Tamandua tetradactyla: one gene and its partner. Each later gene encodes a partner of the first gene's protein in a complex. Links are inferred from orthologs where the notes say so. Each region holds a gene or a part of one and is shown on either strand. Other genes may lie near its edges.

Region 1 (3,911 bases):
AAAGACCAAAGCATTCAGGCACTGAGGCTGCTGCTCCCACCCCAGCTTTGCCTGTGGTGGTTGGTGAATAGGCTACAGGGTTGCAGCTACCTGTGGAGAGAAAGGCCACGAAGAATAGGCTGAGGTCGTGGCTACCACCAGTGGAGGACAGGCCCTGGAGGGGACAGGTCATAAGATCCTAGCAACTTCTGTTTTGAGAAGGCGGGTGGCAGCTGTCTCTCTTCTCTTTTTCTCAGGGCCCTGGCTACCCATTCCCAGCCTGTAGTCCAGGATGGCTGCCTGCAGGAGGAAATCTCCCAGCAGATCAGGAAAGGATGGACAAGCCTTGGATGAGCAGAAGAATAACCCCCCGCTGGTGGAAACAGCTTGGGCCAAAGTGTAGAGGTGGCAATCGATTTCATTTTCTTTGTTTTGCTGCAACCCAGGGAGAGAAGAGGGCAAACCTGCCTTAAGATAGAAAACTGCAGTCTTAAAGAGCTCCCGGGTTTGGGTAGATCCCGACACAAGTTTAAGGGGTTCGTTAACTTGTGACGAAGACACGCCTCTTCCACCTCACTCGCCTAACTCGCGGAAGCTCAGAGGGCGGGTTCCTGCTCCACCCGGGAGGTGCAGCGGTCCCCTAGCCTCGGGCTACCAGAACCTCCCACCGCCGCCGTCGGGCCGCAGAGCTCCAGACGCTTGGCTCCGCATCCAATCGAAGCCCGGCCCCGCCTGAAGCCCTCTCGGAGCCCAATCCGAGCGTTTACTCTACCTCTAGTGCCTACTCTCGGCGTGGCCCCGCCTCCAGCCCTGGCCCAAGGCTGGGCCCTGCCCAGCTTCATCCGCCGCTCCGCCCTCTAACCAATCACCGGCCTCGGATCTCTTCTGGGCCCGCCTCCGGACCCGCCCCGGCCCAGTCCCAGGCCTGGCTCGCTCGGGCCCCACCCCTGGCCCGCCCCGCCGTCGGTGCACGGCGGCGGGCAAGGCACCGCCCGCAGACGCTCGGAACTGTCGACCCGAGAGCTGCCCGCAGAGGGCCGGTGGCCGGAGCGGAGTTGGTCGGGCGGGGCCGAGCCGGGCCGGGGGCCGTGTGGGGGCCGGGCGGCGGCCGGGCCGGGCGGACGGCGGGATGGGCTGCACCGTGAGCGCCGAGGACAAGGCGGCGGCCGAGCGCTCCAAAATGATCGATAAGAACCTGCGGGAGGACGGCGAAAAGGCGGCGCGGGAGGTGAAGTTGCTGCTGCTGGGTGAGGCCGCGCCCCGCGCTGAGATACCCCCCTCCCCCCTTACCCTCCCGCCCCCTCCCTCAGTTCTGCCAGATTCCCAGACAAGGACTTCGAACTCGTAGACAAGGGCTTCGGACCTCCCCTTCGCTCCCGCCCGCGTCTGGACCCCCAAGCCTGGCCTGAAACCCCAGTCGGACCGTCACATAAGGATCCGAAATCCTAAGCTGAAGTCCAGGCTCTAGATAAGAATCCCAAATCATTCCAGACTCCAAACACCCAAACCCAGCCACCAGGCCCCCAACACCAGCTACCCAGAACCCTGCTTGACCATCCCTTGCCGACCAAACTTATAGACCCTCAGAAGCTGCCATCTTGTCTTTCCATCCTTCTTTAGACTTTACTCAAAGCCCCAGAACCCTACCTCGCCTTTACGTTCAGTCTCCACCTGTTCCCCTCACCTGCTCCCTCGTATTCCTATTGGGCATGAGCATCCCTGGGGCCCCTCCCAGGCCCCCCCCACTCCCTCCTTCCCCTCCTGTGCCCCATCCATACTCTGAACTTTATATCTTCTACCTGTGACCTCGGATTTTAAGACATCTCCTGCGTGAGAACCCACGATAGGGCACCCCTCACTCCAGCTGGAATCCCCGAACCTGTAGACGCTCTGCTCCCTGACTTCGGCCCCCCAGGTCCTCTGCAGGCATCACTCCCCAAAACGCTGTGCACACCCTCTCCCACTCTCTGGCCTTCCCCAGGTTCGCCTACCCCTGCACTATTGGGCCGGGCCAGGAGGAGGGGCCCAGGGGCTAGGGTGAGGTAGCAGGCTCGTTAGACCTCCCAGGAGGGGGCTGGAGTGAAGCCCCACTCAGGCTTCTCTGGGAGTTTCCGCTTGCATTACCTTTTTAAGTTTCAAGACCTACTCCTGTGAGCCCCCAGGCAGTAGGAGGGTGTGTGGGGGAGGGGCAGGGGTGAGTTGTTGGGGTGGAGTGGGGGTTGCGGCCACTTCCAAGGCCCGGGAAGATGGTGGCTGCTCAAATGGTGGAGGGAAGTGGAAGTGGTGAGACAGCCGACATATTGCCGCCCCTGCGGGCGGGCTGAGATCCGCTGACGGCTTGGGAACTGGCCTGAAGAGCTGGTCTGAGGCCTTCGGAGTGGATGGAGCTGTAGTATCCTGGGACCCTCCTAGTGGGGGAGTGGTGGACCAGCTTCATGAGGGTATGGGGGACCAGCTGGGGGTCAGTCAGGTGCCTCTGAGCCTCTGCGCTAGGCTTTTGCAAAGGTGGGGGGTCCGGTGGACATCCTGGACCAGCTCCCCATGGGGAAGCTTGAAAGCCTGATTTGGGGATTTCAAGGGGTTTTATGGGAGGCCCCCACAACAGTGTTAGAGGCTGAATAGTATATGTGTGTGGGGGTGTGGCCCCTCGGCCTCAGAGCTGCTGTGGAGACCTCAGGTTGTGAAAAGCAGAGCTTTGCAGGCTGGGCCTGTGGCTGAGGGACAGCAAATAACTGTCCATTCATGGGCCCATCTGTTGACTGTCCCCAGGGGCCTGGCCTCAGGGGCGCAGCCCCAGAGGTTTCAAAATGGCATCCGCTCTGCTGCCGCCGCCGCAGGGAGGAAGAGAAGGGGCGGGAAGGGGCGGCGGCCCAGCCTCCTGGGCTGCTTTGCGTTGGGCGCTTGCCTCTTCCTGTCTCTGCTGCTGCGAAGAGCGGCGGCGGCAATGAGTGGGTGTCGACGCGGCGGAATGCTTGTTGCTGCCCGCTGGGCCTGGGGAGGGCACTTCCGGTCCTACAGCCTCTCGGTGCTCAGCTTGGGGTCTCTAGCTATCCCCTTACCCAGTCGATTAAGCTGGTGGCTAAGGAGATGTGGGACTAGAGTAGAGGTGGGGACACAGGGCTCCTGGCCTATTCTATGCCCCAGCCCTAGAAAGGCCCTCCGTCCTGCCAGGATTGCCCCTTGGAGCTCGGCTCAGCTTTTGGGCCAGGCCAGGTGGAGCCCAGTAACCCCTCCTACACTGAGCTGGCAGCAGCCAGGAGTGCAGTATCGGTCAGCATTTTCTAGCTTGGTGAGCCCATCCCAGCATCCTGCCTCTCTGGCCTTTTCTTCCTCTCTGAAATGGGCTTCCTGGGCTGGCCAGGGAAGGGCCACAGGAGTGCCAGGGCCCAGCTGGGAGAGAATAGGAGCTTCAGGGAGGTTTCTGTTGGTGATGTGAGTAGGGGTTAGGACCTGCAGAGCATATACTGCAAGGGGCTGGGAGAGCAAGCTCTTCCTGAAATTGAAGATTTAATCTGCCACAGTTGCCTGGGGAGCAGTCCTGGCTGACCCATCCTTTTTCCCTCCAGGTACATAGTGGTGGTGGGAGCTTGGCTGTGGCAGGTTCAGAGTGCTGGGCGCCTGTCCCACATAGCGGGAGAGACTCTGTCTGGGCAACGGGACTTGGGCTGGGCATTTGCCAGCCTTCCCTCCCAGCCAGAGCCACGCCTGCTGCCCCACCCGCATACAGGCTCCCTCCCGCTCGGGGTGGCCCGGCCAGTGGGCGGGTACATTCATTGTCACTGGGGCAGAAGCAGACATGGTACACATTGGCGAGAGGACTTTCATTAGATAGCTTGGTGGGGGGAGCAGAGGAGCTGAAAGCTGCTGTACTCCGGGGATACCCTCACCCCACCAGTTCAGCTTGATTGAGTTCAGGTGGAAATCAGGTCCTT
Region 2 (3,911 bases), on another chromosome or scaffold:
ATTTCAATTTTAACAGGGAAAATAAGTTTCTCTCTTTCATTAATCTTAGATTTTAAGTAACTGGAGAGAAGAACGATACCAAGATGATATAAAAGCACGGCAAATGATGCACGAGGCATTGCAACTCCGCCTAAATTTGGTAGGAGACACTTCTTGTGTATTCCCTCTACTGCACTTACCTCGATGTGAAAATAATTCCAGCTTTCCGTTCCCACTGTGTGCAGACTCTGCACTACAAAGTCAGGTCTTCCGCTGTTTGCTCTTTGTAACTACTTCCCTGATTCTCAAGCATCCTGTTTTCCTTTTGGCTTTCCTTCCTGTCTGGTCTGACTTCTGAAAAGTAGTAGGTATTTTAGGCATTGGTCTGCCCTTCCCCTCTGTTTTTCCTCTCCTCAGCCTCAGTGAATCTCTCCTGCTCTTGAGTTTGTTCTTAAGCATAGGTCTCAGAGGACTGCTATTTTGAGTAGCTTTTGCTCTATATTTAAAAAGCATAAAAGGTTCTTTAATTTAAAAATGTTGTCAAACGTTCCATCACATTGATCATTTACAAACAAATCCACAGTGAGATTTCAGATACACTTAAAAATTTTTTTACCCATTGTACATTCCTTTGAAGTTTTATTTTCTCATCAGACAAGCCCAAAATTAATTCCTACACTGAAAGGTGGCTTGCCTGTTACTTTGCCTTATTTTTTAACGGGATCCCCACATATGAATCTGGTTGGGCTGTGAGCCTAGCCTCCTGGCCATCATTAATTCTGCATTAATGGATATTTCTAAGTGTTTATGATAGCAAGAATAAATTCCATAGTAATCAAATCTATAGGTAGTTGGCTTACATCATTTTGATGTGTTCAGGCTTAATGTGACTAAATTTACATCTTAAATCAGGATATCTTGAAAGATTACGAACAAAAGAAAATGTACCATTTAATTCATATCAGTGAGGTACCTACACTTTTGCATCAGCCGTTTTGAAATCACATGGTGAACTTCTGGTCATGTGATCCTCAAAGGACAGGCATGTTAGAACTGCTCCTAGAAAACACTCAGGTATACAAACACACACACACAAACACACACACACCCATCCTTTTTTTTTTTAATGCTCAAATTGCTGTGCTGAAAAGGGTGAAATGACAAATATTTAGCCAGGAGAGAAGACAGGATAAACTGATTTTTTTTTTTGAATAAACCAAAATTTGGCCACATGATAGCGCCGGGATAGTATTTTCTCTTTAATGTAATGCAGTCTTTTTAAATTGTCTTCTGTATGCTAGGTAGGAGGAATGTTTGACACAGTGCAGAGAAGTACTCAGTGGACAACAGACTGGGCGCTTCTACTTCTTCAAATAATTACTTCAGGAACTGTTGACATGCACACGAACAAGTATGATTTTATCATTTTGCATTTCTTTTGCTGCATGTGTACATGGTGTAAACTTGCTATAAATTCTGTCTCGTTACATTTTTAGCTACCATTCAAAATTCTGTGTCTTGCTCAGTTAAGTATATCTTGGTTTTGGTTTAAGATGAAAATAATTATTTTCTTTCACCTTCTAGTGAATTATTCACAACAGTTCTTGACATGCTGGGCGTTTTAATCAATGGAACATTAGCCTCTGATCTATCAACTGTGTCCCCAGGGGGATCTGAAGAGAACAAACGGGCTTATATGAATTTAGTAAAAAAACTGAATGTAAGTTTGTAATCTGCCTATCTTATGAACCCAAATTGTTAATGGATTTGTTATTTATTGGCATTTTTATTTAATTCACTACTCATTAAATGAAACATCAAAAATATAATTTTAACAAGCAAGGTGATTATTTATTGCATTCATTCACTTTAATTTAATAGGGTTATTTTGCCATTTTGTTTCACTTCAGCTTAGAAGAACCCAAAAGTACATGCATGTAACCTTGAAGATTTAAGTAATAATTATATTATCAAAACATGTTCCGTTTTTAAGGTACTTTAGAAATCCATGTTCAAATATGTAATCAAAATACCAGCATTAGATTTTGGATAAATCAATAGTTGGATTGGTACATTCAGAGGAAATATAGGCATTTTTCATTGATATTTCTAAATATAATTCATTCAATTAGCCACTAGCCTAACCTTCAAAATAAACTCTAAACAAACAGTGTAAAAGGAAATCAATATTTCTGATGGCCTTACCAATAAAATAATTGCTGGTTACCTTGTGGTCTGTCCCTGCACGCAAGAAAATGTTCCGTGCTGCAGCTTCTGCCTTCTGATTGCAAATAGTACCCTGAATTTTTGTCATTTCAGCACTGTGGTGTTGGTTGTGTAAGAAGTGTGACTTTATATATGTTCTGTTTCCTACTTAAATAGAAGAAATGAAACATACTCACGCCTCTAATTTAGAGCTGCACCATAGACCATGTTCAAGGTTAAAGAACATGCCAGTGATAGAAAAGGAAATGCTTCAAAGGAGCACTTCCTTCTTGTAACTTTGCCTTCATTGTAATTTCCAACTCATTTTTCCCTTTCTCTTTCTCTCTCTTTTTTAGAAAGAGCTAGGAGACAAGCGGTCAGAGAGTATTGACAAAGTTCGGCAATTGCTGCCTTTGCCAAAACAGACATGTGATGTCATCACTTGTGAACCTATGGGTTCCTTGATTGACACAAAAGGAAACAAAATTGCTGGATTTGACTCTATAGATAAAAAACAGGCAAGAGTAAATGTTTTTTCCTCATATAAATATATCAACTTATGAAAACCAAATACTTATCTTCAGTTCTGATTTTTATTTCACAATTTAGAAGCAGAATATGTTTAGATAAGAAAATTTTTCTTGATAAAAATCTTCATTAGTAAGCTATTCTGAGTAAAAAATATATTTTAAATGTAATGGTATTTCATATTCTAATCCAACAGTATTTAAAGAACACTTCTTTTATATAAGGTATTAAATAATTTTCTCTAAAATGTGGAGGAGAGCTCAGTCTTTCATTCAGTGAAAGTTGAGCAGCTGCAGACATTGTGCAATCACATAGGTGAAACATAGAGCTCTTACCTACGAGGGGAAATAGACGGGCGCAGTGTGGTAAGATTTGTCAGCTTTCACACCAAGAAAACGTTACTGGGACACTGAGGAGGAGCCAGCGAACTCAGATAAGAGGAGTTAGCAATGGGTTCCCAGAAAAAAACAACATGTACATCATTTTAAAGGCCAGGAGATAGAGAAAACTGAGATACAGGAAAGGGAAGGTGCAAGGACATGAAAAGATGTGACTCACAGGGGAAGTGCAATGCTGCAGTTATTTGGGATAGCCTGAGTACCTCATATCAGTGGGGGTGTAAAGAGAAAAAAAACTAGAGTCATGGGCAAGTTCTCTTTGTAGTGCCAGTGGGTTCTTCAGTGGGGAAACATCTCAAAGCCATTTGGAGATGTGATTTTGACACCCAGGAAAGAGGTTTAATCTCAAGACAGAGATTAGAAAGTATCAGTTTATAAAATGGTATTTGATCCTTGTGTTTTTTTATTATTATTATTGTAAATTTGTCATTCTGGACAATTTTAAGAAAGACAAAAGTAGAGAAAATAATATAATAAATACTCAAGTACTCATTACTAGTTGCACTGTTTTAGCATTTTGATCAACATTTTGCTAAATCTTATTTTAGCATCCGAGAAGATAGGATTTAACAAATGAGTATCACTGCTGAATCATACTGATATTTCTTTTATTCTTGTGTCTTGGTGCAGCTAGAAGGAAAAACTTAAAAGTGTGGAACTGTAACCCATACCAAACTCTGAAATCTTCTATAACCAGTTGTTGCGGTGTGCTTTGAAATGTATTGCTTTTTTTGTATATATGTTATTTTTTCATAATGAGAAATATAGATATTTAAGCCACATGCTGAAATATTTATGGGT

The links.
Region 2: the proteins of GNAI2 (region 1) and P2RY12 are in contact, whole or in part, in a cryo-EM structure (PDB 7XXI), measured with the Homo sapiens proteins. The link is inferred for Tamandua tetradactyla from reciprocal best matches to the Homo sapiens genes GNAI2 and P2RY12. Residues at the interface, in NP_002061.1 of Homo sapiens: Arg24, Glu28, Ala31, Arg32, Leu195, Glu319, Ile320, Tyr321, Phe335, Phe337, Asp338, Ala339, Thr341, Asp342, Ile344, Ile345, Lys346, Asn348, Leu349, Lys350, Asp351, Cys352, Gly353, Leu354, Phe355; in NP_073625.1 of Homo sapiens: Phe59, Asp121, Arg122, Lys125, Thr126, Pro129, Phe130, Thr132, Asn134, Pro135, Ile212, Leu216, Ser219, Tyr220, Arg222, Thr223, Arg224, Val234, Lys237, Ile241, Leu301, Cys302, Lys303.

The regions. Positions count from the first base shown.
Region 1 is NC_135341.1:35,847,610-35,851,520, reverse strand, and holds the start of GNAI2 (guanine nucleotide-binding protein G(i) subunit alpha-2), read left to right. Parts: upstream 1-1,091; 5' UTR 1,092-1,108; coding exon 1,109-1,226; intron 1,227-3,911. UniProt on the Homo sapiens protein: Guanine nucleotide-binding proteins (G proteins) are involved as modulators or transducers in various transmembrane signaling systems.
Region 2 is NC_135331.1:44,951,780-44,955,690, forward strand, and holds the start of P2RY12 (P2Y purinoceptor 12), read right to left. Parts: upstream 2,309-3,911; 5' UTR 2,207-2,308; exon of another isoform or gene 2,185-2,206; intron 2,168-2,184; exon of another isoform or gene 1,700-2,167; coding exon of another isoform or gene 1,564-1,699; exon of another isoform or gene 1,391-1,563; coding exon of another isoform or gene 1,281-1,390; exon of another isoform or gene 180-1,280; intron 140-179; coding exon of another isoform or gene 50-139; intron 1-49. Other genes in the region: MED12L (mediator of RNA polymerase II transcription subunit 12-like protein), read left to right, coding at 50-139, 1,281-1,390, 1,564-1,699, 2,541-2,702. UniProt on the Homo sapiens protein: Receptor for ADP and ATP coupled to G-proteins that inhibit the adenylyl cyclase second messenger system. Not activated by UDP and UTP. Required for normal platelet aggregation and blood coagulation.